Kluyveromyces lactis: one gene and its partners. The protein of the gene in region 3 purifies or fractionates together with the protein of the main gene of each other region. This does not show direct contact. Links are inferred from orthologs where the notes say so. Each region holds a gene or a part of one and is shown on either strand. Other genes may lie near its edges. The genes, in order: SHY1, COX6, COR1, CYT1, COX12, QCR6 and TIM21.

Evidence for each region.
Region 1: the proteins of COR1 (region 3) and SHY1 purify together in Saccharomyces cerevisiae (affinity purification with mass spectrometry; 4 studies listed by BioGRID, with this or other methods). This does not show direct contact. The link is inferred for Kluyveromyces lactis from reciprocal best matches to the Saccharomyces cerevisiae genes COR1 and SHY1.
Region 2: the proteins of COR1 (region 3) and COX6 purify together in Saccharomyces cerevisiae (affinity purification with mass spectrometry; 4 studies listed by BioGRID, with this or other methods). This does not show direct contact. The link is inferred for Kluyveromyces lactis from reciprocal best matches to the Saccharomyces cerevisiae genes COR1 and COX6.
Region 4: the proteins of COR1 (region 3) and CYT1 purify together in Saccharomyces cerevisiae (affinity purification with western blotting; 7 studies listed by BioGRID, with this or other methods). This does not show direct contact. The link is inferred for Kluyveromyces lactis from reciprocal best matches to the Saccharomyces cerevisiae genes COR1 and CYT1.
Region 5: the proteins of COR1 (region 3) and COX12 purify together in Saccharomyces cerevisiae (affinity purification with mass spectrometry, with the first as the bait; 3 studies listed by BioGRID). This does not show direct contact. The link is inferred for Kluyveromyces lactis from reciprocal best matches to the Saccharomyces cerevisiae genes COR1 and COX12.
Region 6: the proteins of COR1 (region 3) and QCR6 purify together in Saccharomyces cerevisiae (affinity purification with mass spectrometry; 4 studies listed by BioGRID, with this or other methods). This does not show direct contact. The link is inferred for Kluyveromyces lactis from reciprocal best matches to the Saccharomyces cerevisiae genes COR1 and QCR6.
Region 7: the proteins of COR1 (region 3) and TIM21 purify together in Saccharomyces cerevisiae (affinity purification with western blotting; 3 studies listed by BioGRID, with this or other methods). This does not show direct contact. The link is inferred for Kluyveromyces lactis from reciprocal best matches to the Saccharomyces cerevisiae genes COR1 and TIM21.

The regions. Positions count from the first base shown.
Region 1 is NC_006038.1:1,000,815-1,003,604, forward strand, and holds SHY1 (cytochrome oxidase assembly protein SHY1), read right to left. Parts: upstream 1,614-2,790; coding exon 501-1,613; downstream 1-500. Other genes in the region: DAM1 (Dam1p), read right to left, coding at 1-17; MRPS5 (mitochondrial 37S ribosomal protein uS5m), read right to left, coding at 1,994-2,790. UniProt on the Saccharomyces cerevisiae protein: Required for efficient assembly of cytochrome c oxidase in the mitochondrial inner membrane. Involved in a step that couples MSS51-COX14-dependent regulation of COX1 translation to early steps of cytochrome c oxidase assembly.
Region 2 is NC_006042.1:2,036,121-2,038,557, forward strand, and holds COX6 (cytochrome c oxidase subunit VI), read right to left. Parts: upstream 945-2,437; coding exon 501-944; downstream 1-500. UniProt on the Saccharomyces cerevisiae protein: Component of the cytochrome c oxidase, the last enzyme in the mitochondrial electron transport chain which drives oxidative phosphorylation.
Region 3 is NC_006041.1:507,834-510,995, forward strand, and holds COR1 (ubiquinol--cytochrome-c reductase subunit COR1), read left to right. Parts: upstream 1-1,324; coding exon 1,325-2,662; downstream 2,663-3,162. UniProt on the Saccharomyces cerevisiae protein: Component of the ubiquinol-cytochrome c oxidoreductase, a multisubunit transmembrane complex that is part of the mitochondrial electron transport chain which drives oxidative phosphorylation.
Region 4 is NC_006042.1:1,525,482-1,528,270, forward strand, and holds CYT1 (ubiquinol--cytochrome-c reductase catalytic subunit CYT1), read left to right. Parts: upstream 1-1,410; coding exon 1,411-2,289; downstream 2,290-2,789. Other genes in the region: YNG1 (Yng1p), read right to left, coding at 1-505. UniProt on the Saccharomyces cerevisiae protein: Component of the ubiquinol-cytochrome c oxidoreductase, a multisubunit transmembrane complex that is part of the mitochondrial electron transport chain which drives oxidative phosphorylation.
Region 5 is NC_006042.1:1,581,483-1,583,598, reverse strand, and holds COX12 (cytochrome c oxidase subunit VIb), read right to left. Parts: upstream 750-2,116; coding exon 501-749; downstream 1-500. Other genes in the region: RIC1 (Ric1p), read right to left, coding at 1,488-2,116. UniProt on the Saccharomyces cerevisiae protein: Component of the cytochrome c oxidase, the last enzyme in the mitochondrial electron transport chain which drives oxidative phosphorylation.
Region 6 is NC_006040.1:1,355,556-1,357,802, forward strand, and holds QCR6 (ubiquinol--cytochrome-c reductase subunit 6), read right to left. Parts: upstream 870-2,247; coding exon 501-869; downstream 1-500. Other genes in the region: phosphate-sensing transcription factor PHO4, read right to left, coding at 1,949-2,247. UniProt on the Saccharomyces cerevisiae protein: Component of the ubiquinol-cytochrome c oxidoreductase, a multisubunit transmembrane complex that is part of the mitochondrial electron transport chain which drives oxidative phosphorylation.
Region 7 is NC_006038.1:517,959-520,360, reverse strand, and holds TIM21 (Tim21p), read right to left. Parts: upstream 1,206-2,402; coding exon 501-1,205; downstream 1-500. Other genes in the region: GAS2 (1,3-beta-glucanosyltransferase), read left to right, coding at 1-228. UniProt on the Saccharomyces cerevisiae protein: Essential component of the TIM23 complex, a complex that mediates the translocation of transit peptide-containing proteins across the mitochondrial inner membrane. Required to keep the TOM and the TIM23 complexes in close contact.

The DNA of each region.
Region 1 (2,790 bases), on a different chromosome or scaffold from region 3:
TTTGGCCTTTGAGACATATCTTATGAGCAGATGAATCCAGCAGTTTTATGTTGAGTTTGGAATAGTGCCAAGTAGCCCTGAGAATTTAAGATGAAAGGTCAAAAAAAAAAAAAACAAGTAATGAATTTACCTCAGACTGTCTATGAGATGTCAAATTAGATACCAGGTTGCCCAAAGAGACACTATCGCATTCCGTCTGTCTGCTTGGAGACACCTTACTGTTCGTGTTTTTGTTTTGCTTTACTTTATTTACGTTTTCGATTTTCGATGTACAAGTATTTCAACGATAGTTAGTTAGTATTCATCAACAGGAATGAAAATCATTCAAAATAGCTATAATAGTATTTACAGGTACAAACAAGGTTGATACTACTATGTGTTTAGTAATTAACTGCTTGAATATAATTTATTGGAATTTGAGTATCTCGAATACTAGAAAATTGAAGGAAATGATGGGATCGAGATAGAAATTCCTGAGAATATCAATATGTGTTTCTTTATCACATGAACTTCTTGGCATGTTTTAGCTTTTGCCTCTTTATTTCATCCTGTGACATAGCGGAACCACGACCACGTCTTAGTGCAATGATAAGGAAGATAGATGAAAGCAGAGATAACCCATACCAAGTAATTAAATATTGTAAATGATTATTCTTCAAATCAATCTTTGGTGCTTTACCAATAGGCACTCCCGCTTTAACGAATTGGAACTCGTTAAATTCCAATCCTGTCTCCGAATCTGCTGTATTTACTTTCTTCGTGTTGACGTGTGGTTTCTCGGATTCTTCTTGTTGTGGTTCTGTTTCGGTTTTCTTTTTAGACCAGAATTTCCAAGATGATTGGTTTTTGTTATCGATACCCTCAGATTTTGATTCTTCATCCCAATGGTGATCTTTCAGATCGTAAAGAGCTTGGTAATGAATAGGAGAAGTATGTGTCATCTCTGTCATATCCTTAATATCCAAGACTTGCCACAATCTACTCTCCCTGTCTTCCTTCTTCCATTGCATTGATGTCAAATCTTTAGCTGCACGCACTAACACTGTAATTGTCACGTTATCGCCTTGAGGTAAAGACAAATGTTGCAAGTTACGAGATGATGGAACGATTTTCTCCTCCGAGATCCAACCACGTTCAATCAAAATTCTTTCTCCCGTATCCTTTCTGATGAAAGGCGTATATAAAACGTACCCCTTGATCCCTCCTCTAACACGGGGGCCGACAAAAATCTCTTCATCATGCAAGAATCTACCGGTCATAGTACACTTGCGGTATTCCCAGTCTTCGCACATATCCGGTGTAAACGTTTTAGGTAACGGAATAGGATCGTAGGTTAATTTGTCTTCGCAGGAAGCAATTAGATTGGTTTTCCATTTCAATCTTCTTAATTGCCAGGTTCCTAAGTAGAACGAGATCACGGGCATGGCAATCATCAGTCCTAGAAAAATACGCTTACCCCATCGTGATTCCTTCTTTTGAAATCCTTCAGTAGGTGTCTTCTTTGTTTTGATAGGTTTCCAGTCAACAGTCGATGTCCTGACCGTGCTATAAAGTCGTCTTACCGGCCTTACCTTTGGTACAGTGAATGGCCTAGCCACAATGAAGCGAAACATATGCTTTGCTAATTGTGTGATACTAGTAGCTTCCGCTAAGAATTGAAATGCGTTTGAACAATTAGTAACAGCAAAGAAGTTAAAGCTTTTCTAATCATGTTTATACGCGATTAGATATACTACTCATCTGCTTTCATCATCTTCATTTTCCAATCTTTTAAAGATCAGAAAAGTGTGAAATATTCTAAAAGTCACGTGAAGAAGAATTTGGAACTCCGACGTTGTGGGGATATTAATATGTACAAGGTTACGTAGATCTGAGTATTGATTGTTTTATGAGAATGATCATCTAGGTCGTAATTGAATCATGTGAAGGTTGTTCAGATAGTTTCTTCATAGGAGAAAAAGTGAAAGTAATTTAAATATGGAGTTGGTTGAAATCAAGCAGAGTAATATACCTTCTTGACATCCACAATTTTCTTACCTCTACCTAGAGCAATTTCATCTATAGATTTTTGAGACTTGGTGATAGCGTCTATAGTACCCTTGGCTATGTTCATGATATTTCTACTCTTGTAAACTTTTGCACTTAAATCTTTGATACCAGCACATTCACAAATTTCATAAATTACGTGATTGACTCTTAGACCGAAACCTGGCTTAGCAGCTCTCAAGAATAGTTTCACACCGTGGTATCTATAGTCTATGTCTTCAAAAATAGTTCTTTTTTCAAATCTAGGCACTTCTTTTAAGTTCCTCACTGCATCCCAATGAGCTTTCTTGATGGATTCTGCCATATCTTCACGGGATTTACCCTCACCGATTCCTACCATACCATTCTTATCACCAACAACCACAAGAGAATAGAAGGATGGAATTTTACCTTTTGCAGTTTGATTAGAAACCATCTTTAAGATCAATGGTTTCATCACTAGTTTTCTGGCGATATGTTGAGCATCGAACCCCGTCTGTAGTTGGATATTATTGGCAATGTTTTGTATATCTGATCTGCCTTCAGTTTGTAAGTATGAACCCACAGGAGGAGTCAAATCTGGATGCTTTTCCATCTCTTGAACGAATACCGAAGATGAGCTTGAATGTAGATGTGGAGAGTTTGGTTTATAATCCCAATAAGGATGTAATGTGGCAAAGTTATCCAAATATGGTGGTGAGAATTCAACATTTGTCTGTGGTTTGAACTCTACATTGTCAGGAATTACTTTATCAGCTAAGGAAA
Region 2 (2,437 bases), on a different chromosome or scaffold from region 3:
CATTTTTCTGTCTACCGCTAAATAGACTAAACGCGTATGTTAATAGCTGTTTGTTTGATATATAACTACTTTTCCTTATAATTTAGTCAGTATAACATATATATAATTATAATAATTGTGATGATGATGATAATAATAATAATAATAATAATCTTGATTTTATTTGAATTGTTTGTAAATGTTTCTTGAAGGTTTGTATTCACGGTTCTGTATATGTCCTGGCAAATAAATAATGTCTTCGTATCTGCTACTACCAGTAGTCAGCACCAAAAAAACCTCCTCAAACAAACAAATGTGTGACAAGAATATATGGTGTCATAGGATGGGACACGTTCGTAAATATAGTTTTTGATGATATTTATTTTGGTTTCATTTGGTTGTTGGTGTTGTGGATAAGTATTGTTCTTTCCTTCCTAGTGAAAGGTTCTCAAAAAGTGAAAATAGTATGGGAGAAGATGATAAAGCCGGTGACTTTAGATTAAATGTTCTTCTATATGCACTTATTGGAACAATTCCTCCTTCAAAGGAATTCCCAATTCTTCTCTAACATCCTTCAATTCATCCAAGTAAGCCTTGTATTGATCTTCGTTTTCAACTTTGTATCTCAAGGCTTCGAACACTCTGACAGCAGTTGGCAAGTCGTTAACCTTTCTGGCGGCTCTCAAGGCCTTTTCGATAACAGCTGGGGCTGGAACCAAATCGTAAGAGAAACAGTTATTCAACACTCTTTGGACTTCGAATAAATCGTAAGCCTCTTCGAATTCCTTTTCGTATCTGGCGGTGAATTCTTCAAAGGTTTCTTCTTCGTGTGCATCGGAGTACTTTCTGATAGAAACAAATTGAGATTGTAATTGACCAACTCTTGGGGCAACAGCAGCTCTCATCATAACCGGAGCAACGGCTCTTACTGGCATAGCAGCTCTCAACAAAGTTCTGGACAACATATTTTTCTTTGTATTGGTTGATTCGGGATTTGGATTTGATTCACTGTATTAAGATGATCAAATAGCTATTCTAAAAGGAATTATAACAAACCGTATTCACAAAAGATTCAAAGTCGAGTTCTATTGTAATTAAAACTTAATGTAAAACGCTTTAAAGATATATCAAATAGGTTAGGTAAAAGGTAAATCGACCGATAATTTTCTCTGGAGTTTTTTTAAAAATTTGAAGTAATGAAGAATGAAAAAAAAAAAATTAAATACTTAAAATCGCATAGGACAAATATCAACAAACAGTTCAAATACTTAAACTAGTGGATAGCTACGTCTTTGAACTAGATAAAAACGAGATTGTTAAAAGGAAAGTAAGAGTAATAACTTGCGAAACGAATAGCACAAATTTGAACCTCGAGTGAGTCGTTCCATTCGAAACAACTTTTATTGTATCTTATTCTTTGTATGCATCATCTTCTTAGTAGTTTACAAAAAAGTGGTATTATCAGTTTTTTAAATAGTGTGTCTATGGAAAATGGATGGAAGAAAAAAAGAGGGCTAACATAATTCATCGGCAGAGTTGCAACAAAAGTTCACACTCCAAAAAATCCTACATGTGGTACTTACGAGCAAGTCGTTTATCTAGTTCGATTTTAATTATTTGAATTGAGTATTTCTTGACTTTCTGCTGCCTGTCATTTTTCAGTCGAGCGATGTCAGATTAAAGATCTCATGTTCAAAGGAAATGAAACCTTAACTCTCATAATCTTCGAAATAATGTCCTATAAAACAAGATAATAAGTCCGTGATAATAAACCCCACAAGCAGTATCTATAGAATCCAATAAAACACATTCGTGAAATATGCTGGGGGGTAATGGGCATTGATTGAGACTGGTCCGACCGTTCTGTAGGGTGTCTTGTTTGTGGGGAAGGAGAACGTATTGGCATATGATTGGTTCGTCACCGATGATTTTTACCACATAGTCGGGTAATAGGACAGCGGGAGAACGTGACTTCAATACAAATACAATTACCCGGAAGTCGCGTGGTTTCAAAGGTTTTTTTTTTCTCGGTAGGCAGGTTCCCCTGTTCGATCCCTCATCTCCGCAGAAAACTGCGGGTTATTATGTCTCTAAACGCGATAGTTAATCCTCTATATCGTCAAACGTTGAGATAGGTGGCATCGCGGTCTTGATATGTTGCATCAAAGCCGTATGGTTTGGTTCAGAGTTTGTAGACCCCTCAACTATTATTCGGGTATGTCCATTGTCAAACACTTTTCGAACAGCAGGTTTTGAATCATCGTCGATACCTGCACCAGCCTCTTCATGTCCCGTGTTACGATTAGGCCATTCTTCAAGCCTAGAGTAATCAAATCCCGGAGGAGGTGACGCTGGCGGAGACACTAGAAATAATGTCTGGGCAGGGGGAACTTTAAGGTGATTCATCACAGTGTCAGCGCCAGCGTGTGGAAATCCAGCTTGTGAATTCGATTCAGCC
Region 3 (3,162 bases):
TTTCAAAACTGGCGGCAAGAACAACAACCGTTCCGGACGGGGATTACATGGGAGTTAAGATATTTGGATCCTGATGGACCGACCATTTTTCAGCGCATTTTGCTTTGCGGGAATAAGCTCCCTTCTAAATTTCTTAGAAACCTTGCTTGAAGAAGTCGTAAATACATGCAGGGATAGTTGGCGAATGAAATGATGATTTTATTTCCGAAGAGTAAATCCGAATGGATATTCGTTGCGGTGTTTTCAAGGCGAGAATCGAACACTTACACTGTACGCACAAACCACCAGCAAGCAAGCAAGTAATCAAAAAAAAAAAAAGTACTCATTTGGACTTTGGTACTTACCCGAATCTTTCTATTGTGCGGGTAAGTGTAATTTTATTCACGTGAGTCGAATTTCAATCTCGGTATTTGATCATCTTTGACGAACCAATGGAAATCCAGTTCGGGCATCGTATTTCACGGTTCATTTTTCATTCAAAGTTTACCGCTTACCATAGGAAATCGAGCATTTCCACTGTTTATTATGGGAAAAGAAATGCTGGTACCGATACTTCCGTAACTGCGAGATGAGCGAGAAAGAGGGATATGCAATCCCAAAAATGTCGATTTGATTGGAAATGTTCGAGCAGATGGAATTAGCAGTTTTGGGGCTAAATTCTCGTCCCGAAAAGTACTCGCTACTATGTAAATTTTTGTTTTTCGGACCAGTTTCTCGGCCAGAAACGATTTTAATAATTGTTCAAAGGGGGTCCCCTATTAATTATGTGGACAGGTCGTTGTCCAATGAAAGAAAATCTCTATGCTACAGAGAAGACAAAGAAGAAGAGGTAAAAAAAAAAAATTATGGAAATATCGAAAAACTAGACAGCGCTCTCAGTATCAACATTTTTCACTTTTTTCATATAGTGTAACCTTCCAAAATTAAAAAAAAATTAAAAGTAGTTAGATAAATCATTGATATTTGTTTAATGAAAGTACACTAACTTTATTTAGACCTGTTTATAGTTTTCTACTCTTGTATATTGCTTCAGTCAAGTGTGCACAATTTTAAGGAAATTGAGAATTCAGTTAGGCTAAAAACTATCCAAACTTTGCTTTATATTTTTTTCAGTGAAATACCACTATACTGTTTTTTGAATCGATAGTATACCAACAGAAAGGTTTCCAAGGAAAAAAGTAAACGAGAATTATAACTTCGAAGGTATTACATTTGGGAGCTCATTGACTTGTTTTTGATCCCGTATTCTATTTATTTTGCACGTACAAATTCAACACACTATATTGATTAAACGGATTATAACCAATTATTTGCCATAAGAAAGATGTTGAGAACCGCTACTAGATCTTCAATCTTGAAGAGAACCATTGCCACTCAAATTACCCCAAAAGCCATCGTCACCGAACTATCTAACGGTGTTGTTGTTGCTACTGAACCAAACAGCAACTCTGCCACTGCTGCGGTCGGTTTGGTGTTCGGTTCCGGTACTACTGCCGAAAACCCATACAACAACGGTGTTTCCAACTTGTTGGCTAACTCCTTTGTCAACTCTTCTATCAAGGATGCTCAAAAATTGGGATTCTCCTTAGAAACCAAGGTTGGCAGAGACCACCAATCTTACATTGTTAACTCTCAACCAGGTCAATATGCTAAGGCTCTAGAATTCTTGCAATCCAAGCTTTTCGCTCCAATTGAGGACTCCGTCTTCGAAAGTTCCAAGAGAGCTACTGTAGACACTGTTGCCAAGTTCGAAGAAACTGAACACGAACAACGTGTTTTCGAACACTTGCACGCCACTGCTTTCCAAAACACTCCATTGTCTTTGCCAGTCAGAGGTACTGTCGAAACTCTAGAAGGTTTGGAAAACATCGACTTGTCCAACTTCGTTCAAAACCAATTCAAGGCAAACAACTCTGTTATTGTTGGTACCGGTAACGTTAACCACGATGAATTGGTCAAGGCTGTTGAAACTAAGCTTTCTTTGCTATCTGGTGACAAACCAGTGCCAAAGAAGAAGTCCACTTTCTTGGGTTCTGAAGTCAGACTAAGAGATGATACTCTACCAAAGGCTTGGGTATCTATCGCTGCTGAAGGTGAACCTATCAATTCTCCACAATACTATGTTGCTCAAGTCGCTGCTGAAGTCTTCGGTACTTTCGTTGCTGCTGAACCAGCTTCCAACCTACAAGGTGTTAAGTTGATCGACGAAGTTAACGAATACCACTTGTGTGACTCTTTCGAACACTTCTCTGTCTCTTATAAGGACTCCGGTTTGTGGGGTTTCAGAACCACCATCACCGACCCACACAACATCGATGAAACTGTCCATTTCACTTTGAAGCAATGGAACAGATTGTCCATCTCTGTCACCGAAACTGAAGTCGCTCGTGCTAAGTCTTTGTTAAAGTTGAAGTTGGCTTCTCAAGTTTCTACCAACGCTGCTGCTGCTAACTTGTTGGGTGCTCAAACCTTGGTTTTGGGTGCTAAGCCAGCCTTGGCTGAAGTCTTCACTAAGATTGACAAAATTACCTCCAAGGATATTAAGGCTTGGGCTTCCGAAAGATTATGGGATCAAGATATCGCTGTTGCCGGTACTGGTAAGATTGAAGACTTGTTGGACTACGTCAGAATGAGAAACGACATGAGTATGATGAGATGGTAATCAAACTAAAAGCCGAGTCTTAAGATATTTTAACAATTCTTTTTATATTATATTCTCATTTCACGACGGTCATTCTAAAAACAATTCTCTCTTTTCTACTCGACTGAGTAGAATTACTCCCTGTAACATTTACTTTTGAGTTGTTATAACCATATCACTCGATGAGTAATAAGTTACAGTTTAATTTCATGTGTGTATATTCCCCCAAAAAAAGAAATTTGTCACGATCGATTTATATCAATATTTTACTGTTTTGGACTAAAGTCTAGGGTGTTTACTGGCGCATTCGATTTTTCGCTCTGTCACAGCTCCTCAAGATCAATACATTTAATGAACATAATGTATTTTTTAATTCCAAATGATATTTGAAAATTTAGGCTAAATCGAAATAAATCAAAATCTCGCTCATTATTCGTCGAAACAAAAATATGAGTTCAATGTCCTTATTTATGATACTGTCATTTACTGGTGAGCAATTGAATACATTTTAACCATCAAGA
Region 4 (2,789 bases), on a different chromosome or scaffold from region 3:
CATACGACACATCTCTACAGAAACAGTACGTCTCTGTCTCTGGCTTGTGCGTCTTATCATGATTCACATGTTCTTGCTGAATCAGTTTCTGTTCCCTTTCTGCCTCTGGGTACCTTGATTTCATAGTGATCTTAATCTTGATCGGTTTGTGATGAGGCAAAGGTTTCAATTTCGGTTGTTTCTTCAAGTGACTATCGTACCTTGCCTTAATCTGAGAGAATCGCTCCAATTCTTGTTTTTCAAAATTGAGCCGTGAATGTTCTTGCCGTACTAACTCTAAGAGATGTTGCGCTTGTCGCAGCATCTCTTCTGAATGACATCCATCTCTATTAGTATCACCTATATCCAATGATTGTATAGTCCAGAGGGTGCGAATCACATCGCATGGTAAATGGTCCAGTGTACTGAGAAACCCGTACCTAACATCTTCCATTGTTCTTGAGCTGTTTCCTTCTAGCCGATTAACTAAGACCAGAATGGTCAATTCTATTCTAGGCGTTAGCATGTACTTACTCTTTCTTGAATGGCTTTTGCCATATGGATATGAATGGAAAGACGTTTTACGTTTTCCCAGAAGGAAAACATTCACGTGACAAGTCCCAGTCACGTGAATGACATTGATGTTTTTGGGATATGGAGTTCTGACCAATCACATCGAAGAACGTGCCGTCTTCTCATAAACCTCCGCACATATGGATATTTTCCCGTACTTAGTGACTTTTCGTCGGGAATATCGCCCTTAACACGCATCCTCCAGTGCGCTTAGGATAGAAAACCTTCAGAAAAACATCGCTTTCGAAAAATAAAAAAAAATACTTTAAACATAATCAATCACAAACAATTATCATTGGATTGGACAGAAAACTTAGCAGAGAAATGCTCACAGACAGCGAAAGGGAAAAAAAAAAACGGCTTGAAAATTTTGGGAATCGATTTTTTCTCTATGTAAAAAGCGATATAATGAAAAATATCTACAAAAATATAGTATATAATTCTTTTCAAACTAGAGAAAACTTTTTGGAAACGATATACATAGATTATTTATATATACGTTTAGTTGGTTATAGTATTAACCAGGGATTTAGTTTGCGCTGATCGATCAATCAATTCAACGGATTTGATTTAATATTTATTTTTGAAAAGAACGGAATAAAAGAAGCCTGCGTCTTTTAAATTTTTGTCCTTTACCTAACTGTCTATTTGTTCGTCTTTCTGGTACAGATATTAAGAAAAGAATAATAATACATTCTCAGGATATTATCCATTGTCTGTGTGATACGAATATAAATTCAAGAATATCAGCTTTGATTCATACAAATAGTTGTTAGAATATCAAAATTCGGGACATTTTTATCTTTTAGAAGAGAATTCAATTAATAGGAAACTAAAGTGATATCATAATAATAAACGATGTTCAGATCATTTTCTACTGCCGCTAAACAGGCCGTAAAAGGTACTTATGTTCAAAGAGCCATTGTTGGTGGTGCTGCTGTTGTCGGTATTGGTGCTTCAACAATGTTGTATGCTGATTCCTTGACTGCTGACGCTATGACAGCTGCTGAGCATGGTTTGCATGCCCCAGGTTACGGTTGGTCTCACAACGGTCCATTGGAAACTTTCGACCATTCTTCTATCAGACGTGGTTACCAAGTTTACCGTGAAGTTTGTGCTGCATGCCATTCTTTGGACCGTGTTGCATGGAGAACCATGGTTGGTGTTTCTCACACTAACGCCGAAGTCAGAGCCATGGCTGAAGAGTTCGAATACGATGACGAACCAGATGACCAAGGTAACCCAAAGAAGAGACCTGGTAAATTGGCTGATTATGTCCCAGGTCCATATCCAAACGAACAAGCTGCTAGAGCCGCTAACCAAGGTGCTCTACCTCCAGATTTGTCCTTGATCGTCAAGGCCAGACACGGTGGTCCAGATTATATCTTTGCTTTGTTAACTGGTTACCCAGAAGAACCACCAGCCGGTGTTGTCTTGCCTCCAGGTGCCAACTACAACCCATACTTCCCAGGTGGTTCCATTGCGATGGGTAGAGTCTTGTTCGACGATTTGGTCGAATACGAAGACGGTACCCCAGCCACTACTTCTCAAATGGCTAAGGATGTTACCACTTTCTTGCACTGGTGTTCTGAACCAGAACACGATGAAAGAAAGAGATTGGGTCTAAAGGCTATGATCGTATTGTCCTCTCTATACTTGTTGTCCGTCTGGGTCAAGAAGTTCAAGTGGGCTTCTATCAAGTCTAGAAAGATTGTCTTCAACCCACCAAAGAAATGAGTTTTTTTGAATATTAATGTCGAAACGAATAAAGACTAATTCATATCAACTCTTTCTATTTTATTCTCTCAACTCTCTACTTCTGTTTCTCCCCATTTCCGGAGAAACTTGCAAGGTCTCTTCTTTTTTGCTACTTGATTGATCAGTATTTGATTGTTGGTAATCAAATGTGATCTTAATCATTTAGATCAGAGATACATCAAATATATTCATCTTTCCACCCATACATCCCACACCGTCTGACACATAAAAAAGGATTCTAACAAAACAAAATGGCTTGACCATCAACCATGCTTAAAAACATCTTATAAAGAGGGAAAAGGAAGCTCGATTATCAAGAATGAAACGGTGAGGATTTAAATGAAAACTTTTTTTACGAACAACCCCTCTCTTTATTCTCATCTTCTGAGAATATGGTACTTCGGGGGAACAAATAGTGTTTTTTTCTTACGAATTAGAAAGAATTGAACCTCCTCCTTTGTACGTCATAATACTACTTT
Region 5 (2,116 bases), on a different chromosome or scaffold from region 3:
ACAAAGTTTAAACTGTGTTCTAAATTGATCTTTCTTTGTAAATTTTTTTTATGAGAGTATTGTTTTAATAAAAGTGAAACTTGTACTGGGATTTCCGGATCTCCATCAATGTTACTTAATTTCCACACTAAGGTCTGGAATGATGATCCAAGACGCTGAAACTTATATTGAGTGGAAAACGTTACAAAGTGACAATAACATCGAAAGGGGAAACGGAGGACGGATGTGAATGGGATAATAAATATATTGTTTTAAAAAGAAAATGAATGAAAAATCGATGGGACAGAAAACAGTGAAGCCATTGTTCGAGGAAAGTGAATGAAAATAATAAAAGAGGAAGATACGTTAAGTACGAATCATAACAGATAATTTCAGTATCTGTTGTCACATCTTGCTCCAAATGAATATCATCTTTTTTTGTTTTTAGTTTTCCTAAACTAGTTCTTCACTAATTAACTGCCTCTTTTTTCATCGCATTATATCACATATTTCCAACCAGTTTATGGGTTAATGTCACCAGCAAAGATACCCTGGGATCTTTGTTCATCCCACTTTTCAACCCAGTCAACTGGACATAGAGAGGAGTAGGTCTTCCAGAAAACCTTGCATGGAGCGAAGTCTTCACCCTTAGCATTGATACACTTGTGGTAATCCACGTACGATTGCCAGCAGTGCTTTGTTTGGTTTTGGTTTGGGAATCTAGCGTCGAAACCAACGGTGTGTAATGGAGATTCTTGATTTTCAGCCATTGTAATAGGGTTTATCGGTGATGATGTTTGAACAAAGAGTGATCTTAATTAACCTGAACAAAATCAATACAAAACTAAAATATCTTTGAATAAGAATGAACAAACAAATCTCAAACTAATCTAAAACTAAAACTCAAAACAAAAATAACAACAAGAATTGAAAAGAATAGTTCTTAAACTTCTTTATTTTAATTCTAAAAACTAATCAGTTAAACTAAATAGAAAGTTAGAATAATCAAAATCTTTTTTTCGGCTTCAAGAAAAACTATGAAAATATCATTCGAAAATTTCATTAGGAATGAAAAAAAAAAAAAAGATGAAATATCGTAACATTAAGAAGAGGTAGCACAAACAGATACTCCGCAGACATAGACTTTAATAGTAATATTACTAGTATATATCCAGCGTAAAAGGGGTCAATTGAATATTACATCTACCCTAGTATACAGCTGTGTAGTACCAGAGAAAGGAGTACATATGCTTCGTTCAATTAAAAGCGTAACTGTAAAATACCTGGTTAATTGCGAAAAAATCGCAGTATATGATGGTAACACTTTTCCATTCAGCAAGAAAACGCATCATCTTCTTATTATGGCACGAGATGTTTGATTTGAATAGTGTGAGCATACATATTTTATATGGGGTTTGAATGTAATCGTCTTTGACGATGCAGTCCTTGTGATTGGCCGAGTATCACGTGACAAGTGCGGTTAGAAAAAAGGTATTTCCCAGTATTAATTAGATCATGTCCAGACAAGTCTGTGCTAGTGTAGTATTTCCCTTACTGTCTAGTGCTCTTAAGAATCGAATTAGTTGTAGAGCGAAATCCCAATACTCTTGTGCTTGCTCTTTTGTAGTTGAAAGAGTGGCAGTGGATACGAATATCTTGAGGACTTGACCTATGACTGTTTCGTCTTTTAGGATGGTGGATACACTAGTATCTGGAGAAGTCTCTCTACTATCAGATTCCTTGAGTCCGTTTGTATGGCTCTTTTCCTTGTTCTTGTTCTTGTTCTTGTTTTTGTTGTTCTTGTTCTTGTTGTTCTTGTTCTTTCGTTTTGTGGACTTTGTCGTGACCTCTTCCTGTTTAGATTCACTATCGCCCTCGTCATAGTTTAAGAATACCATCAAAAGCGTACCCAAGATCTTCGCTTCAGATAGAGCAATGCACTTGGTGATAAGATCTCTTGGAGTTAGTTTTAGATTCTCAAATAAGTAGTCCCAATGTTTTGTTTCGATCTTTCTTAAACAATTCCCTACGATTTCAAGTTTACCAACTTCATTCTTAATCCCGCCTGAATTTTTATCATAGGTATCGATTAATGATAATATGGAGTTCAAGTCCTCATGTTCCAATACTTTACTGG
Region 6 (2,247 bases), on a different chromosome or scaffold from region 3:
AGAAAGGTTATTTTCTTAATTCTTTTGAGAAAAAAGAGGAAGAAAACCGAATCTAGTAGTAATAATAATAATAATAATAATAAAATAATGGTAGTGGAGTAGTCTCTTCTTCTGAATTTTTTTGGTACAGTTCTTCAAATTGATTCCAGATACCCTTCGATCTGTGATTCCTTCACTTTTTTGTTTCTTATTTTTAAATTTTAAGTTTATTGTGTTTCTAAGTCAATAATTCATAATAGTATGGGATGGATTGTGTGGTTGTTTGGAATTGAAAAGAAAACTCTACTTATTTCCTCAAATTGCAAGGGGGAACCTTAGGTGATTACGATAAGCTGAAACATCTTTTTCGCTTTTAAATTCTTTTAGAGATTGAATGTTGAAATATGTGTTAAGTATAACGGTTGATTTTTTGAACAGGACTGAAATAAAGGTTAGAAAAAAGTAGAATATGAACTCTCCTTTTCCATTTGCATTTATATTGATGAAATGGGATATCTCTTTTATTTCAAGTAATCGAACAGTTTTGGAGCAGCGCATTCATCCACGAAATGTGCCAAGTGGAAGAATTCTTCCACACAGTCCTCCTTGTATGCCAAATCTTCATAGCCTGGTTCTTCTTGTGCCTTTTGAACTCTTTCGACACATTCCAGATAATGATGAACCAAGTGCTTACCTTCTTCGGTAGATTTACATTCTTCTCTCAAAGCATCTAATTGATCACCTTGTTCTTCTTCTTCATCTTCATCGTCTTCATCTTCGTCATCTTCTTCCTCTTCTTCATCTTCTTCAACGTCGTCTTCAGCCTTGGCCACAGTTGGCACGAAAGCATCCTTTAATTCTTCCAAGTAAGCAGTAATAGAGGAAATCATTCTGTTCTCTTATAATATGTGTGTGTATGTTAATTTAAAATTGATAGTTTCAAAAAGGACAGGGAAATTCTAGTATCGAGTAAAATCAAAATACAACGAATAAATATGAATAAAGCCCAAAGTTTGTGAATGTATTGGTTGTATTATTGTTCTTATGAATATTTTATTCTGTGTATATCAAACAAAATAAAATAAAATAAAATCAAAACTGGATGTAATAGAATAAAACCAAATACCCGACGTATTAGTTACTTGATACCGTATTGAACCGAAAAGAAAACTTATAAAACCTAGTTAAACAACTTATGAATTGGAGCTAACCTAACAAAAATATGATATAACCGAAGTAATGTGAACTGAATATTATATCGATTGATTGATAGATATATTATAATTAAAATCGAAATATGAAATTTTTCATACTTTAAACTAAAAAAAAAAATATCGAAGGTCAAAAAAAAAAATTACGCAGAAATCAACGTATCAATGTGGAAGCATATAACGGAAACTCTACATATAGATAACCGATAAAATTCAAGGTTTAAACTGCACACGAATTAAGAGAGCTTGGATAGGGTTTGATTCTGAGCGGTTTTGGTGCTTGTTTGGCACCTTAGTCAATTGCTGGAGTCGCAGGAACGGACTATTTCCCTGCCCAAATTGGCCGGCCAATGAAATAATCGATGCTGGAAATGTTTATGTTATCCAGCCTTTGTACTGCCGTTTCAGTTGCGACATTGTATCGGTCATCACATTGTACGACGAATAAACAGGCTCTTTCCTCTTGAAATCTTACTTGTTGAGAGAACCAACAGCCGCTGTGGGCATAGGGGAGCCGCTAGAGGCTCCCGCACTGAGTCTGGCTTTTTTCGGAAGGAATAGCTATTAAAGGCGATCTGTGTCACACACGACGGTAGATTGTGATTGGTTCGTCGATAGTGATGGATGACATTTTATTTGCACGTGATACATAATTATCTATGATGTAAAGCAACTGAAAATATCATATCACGTGGTTTAAGGGTAAGAAACACTATAGATACATTTATACAGGCACAGAGAGAGAAAGATGTCTGTACTCACTGGTTGGAGTTTGCCTTCAACAATTGACGGATATACTGGGCAGCCAGCTCGACTGTGGTAGCTTTGGATGGGATTGCCGCCACGTCTTTGAGTTCCTTTGGAATCAAGGACTCAAGATCCTTCAATGCATTGTTCAATCTGTTTCTTCTTCCTTGTTCTGCTACTTTATGCACTTGCTTTTGCTTCTTTACCACGTCGTCATCATCATCGTCTTCTTCGTCACGTTCGTTTTCACGGTCAGCGTCAGCGTCATTTTCGTCATCCTCACTAGAGGATTTAGGTTTCTGAGAAGATC
Region 7 (2,402 bases), on a different chromosome or scaffold from region 3:
GGAAGTACGTGTCCGTTAGCCAATGAGGACATTTATTTTAACTTCAAAAGCTACAATACAAAAACCCAGTGTCAAGCCTTAATCAAATCGGTTCAAGATTCTGTTAACACAAAAAAATCAATTAAAGTTCCAACCAATGATCAAGATATCAGTAATCTTGGTAATTCGCAAAAAATATGTTCCATCCTGCTTCTTTTGACAGCTATGACATACACGTTCTTTTTATAAATAAATCAAATGCACTTTGTTTAGATAGACATGAAATAAGTTCTTCGTTTACTATTTTTTGGCGGAGCAGCATGGCAACCCCGCATCTTGTTTAAGTTTTCTTAAAGTACCATATTAACAGTCAATATTGCACTGAGGAGAATAGGCGTCAATTGTTTCATTAGAATTATGGAATATATATATGGCGGGTGAACAACAAAATAAAAGAATGCAAAAGTGTTCGTATCAAAAATGAAAGGATTTGATATACCATTGGTGTGATTCATTACAGTTTAGTCTCTTTTGGGGCCCCAATTAACTCCCAAGAATCCTTTTGGTTTGACAATGGAAAGTTTGGGCTTAATCAAATAATGACGTTTTTCTCCAGGAATATCAAGGTACATTGAAACGAAATCAGGTTGGTAATTTACATCGGATTCTTTGGCTTCCACATGAACGATCCCCATTTTCTGCTTGGATTCTACATGGAACCTCATGAGATAATGTTCCTTGCCCTCCTTGTCAATTCTTCTTGTCGATGAGATTGGTCTATTTCTTGTCCAACGATCATCAGTTAAAATTTCTCCGTACGCTTTTAATCTCTCTGTAGACGTTTCCGTATCGTTGCATTTCAATAATCTTCTGGCGACTTCATCATTTTCTACTTTGCTAACGGCACGATTGAAGATTTGAGTATCCCCCGAAGGAGAGAATAGCTCTGCTCCAATCAAATAGATGACAACTCCAGCTAAACCAGTGGCCCCGATGACCAGTATTCCGGAAAAGGTAAAAGTCGTAAAAGCCCTAATTCGCGGCCATAGTGGTATCTTCTTTTTTTGTTGCTTGTTGCCTGCATTCTGTTGAGCATTGAACGTAGAATATCCTTGAACTGTATGTTTTATTCTGACTGGAGATGCAATTAAAGGCAAACAGAGTGTCTTGGATGAGAATTTTCCACTCAAAGACTGGGCTGGACGTGATATGAACTGACAGAACATTATTGCCTTTGTTAGCAGCCCTCTGACTCAATGTCTTCTGTTGACGAAAGAATCTCTTTTGCCTTATTACACTACTTATGTTTTAAGAAGTTTTGAGTTTTTAGCCTAAGAATTTAATTCTCTAAATTTGACAAGGACGGTGTTTCCTTTGGAATACTATATACCGGAGTAAGGACAGAGGGAATTAACATAAGACGAAATTCGTAAGAATTGCATGAACCTGTAGGTGTCACCGAGACCTAAATTGTTTAATCTATTGCTGCGGAGATATCGCCTCAGTTCAACAGGTCGTCATAACATCCTCAGGGTAAATGGGATCATTCCCTTAAATGAACATATTCAGATGTTTATGTAAATAGCTGTAGGAAGACGTTTTGGTGGCTACATCTTGAGCCACAGATATTGGGTAGATTTGCAATAAATTTATACTTATGTGGAAGAAGGTGAATGAATTGGTGCAGAAAGAGTGATAATGGCTACGTTTTATTGAATTTAAGTACAGTAGGTGTTTCGAAATTGATGATAACTATCAACTCTGGTAATGGAAAATGGTGATCGGTCTTAAAAGTGCAGGTAAAACAAAACAACGGGAGAAATGTTGTTATTACGGATAATGGTAGAAGCAAGTTAATGGCATGCAAACAGGAAACCGTTTATTTTACATAAATATACTATTTGAAATTAATCAATCCTCATGGTATACAGAGTTAGTGAACAAAAGCAAATAAGTGCTTTTTACAGCCCCTTTAGTGCAATGGTTAGCATACATTTTTCCGGTGGATGTGATCCGGGTTCGAGTCCCGGGAGGGGCTCCTCTGATTTTTGTTCAAAATTTGAATTCATACTACGTGCCGATTCATTCAAATTCCTTTATAATACTTGAACCATCAATGGTGTTCAGGCCCAATGCCTACATTTTTTTTTGTACAAACTCAACCAATGGAGGCTAATATTTATTAGCAATTGTTAACAACTACTATATACTGCTGTTCTTTCCTTCAAATTGTATGATCAGAGAATCTCTTTGGGTAGGAATTTCAATATGAGGCTCCATCCTGTGACTGTTTGCATCCGTACATCTCGAATTTATATATGTTTTTCAGAAAATGAAAAAATCGAAATTTATACTTCCTACATAGGAACTCTATCATGAAAACCTTATATCTTAGGCTTACTAGTGAGCCCTGCCTGGCCGCC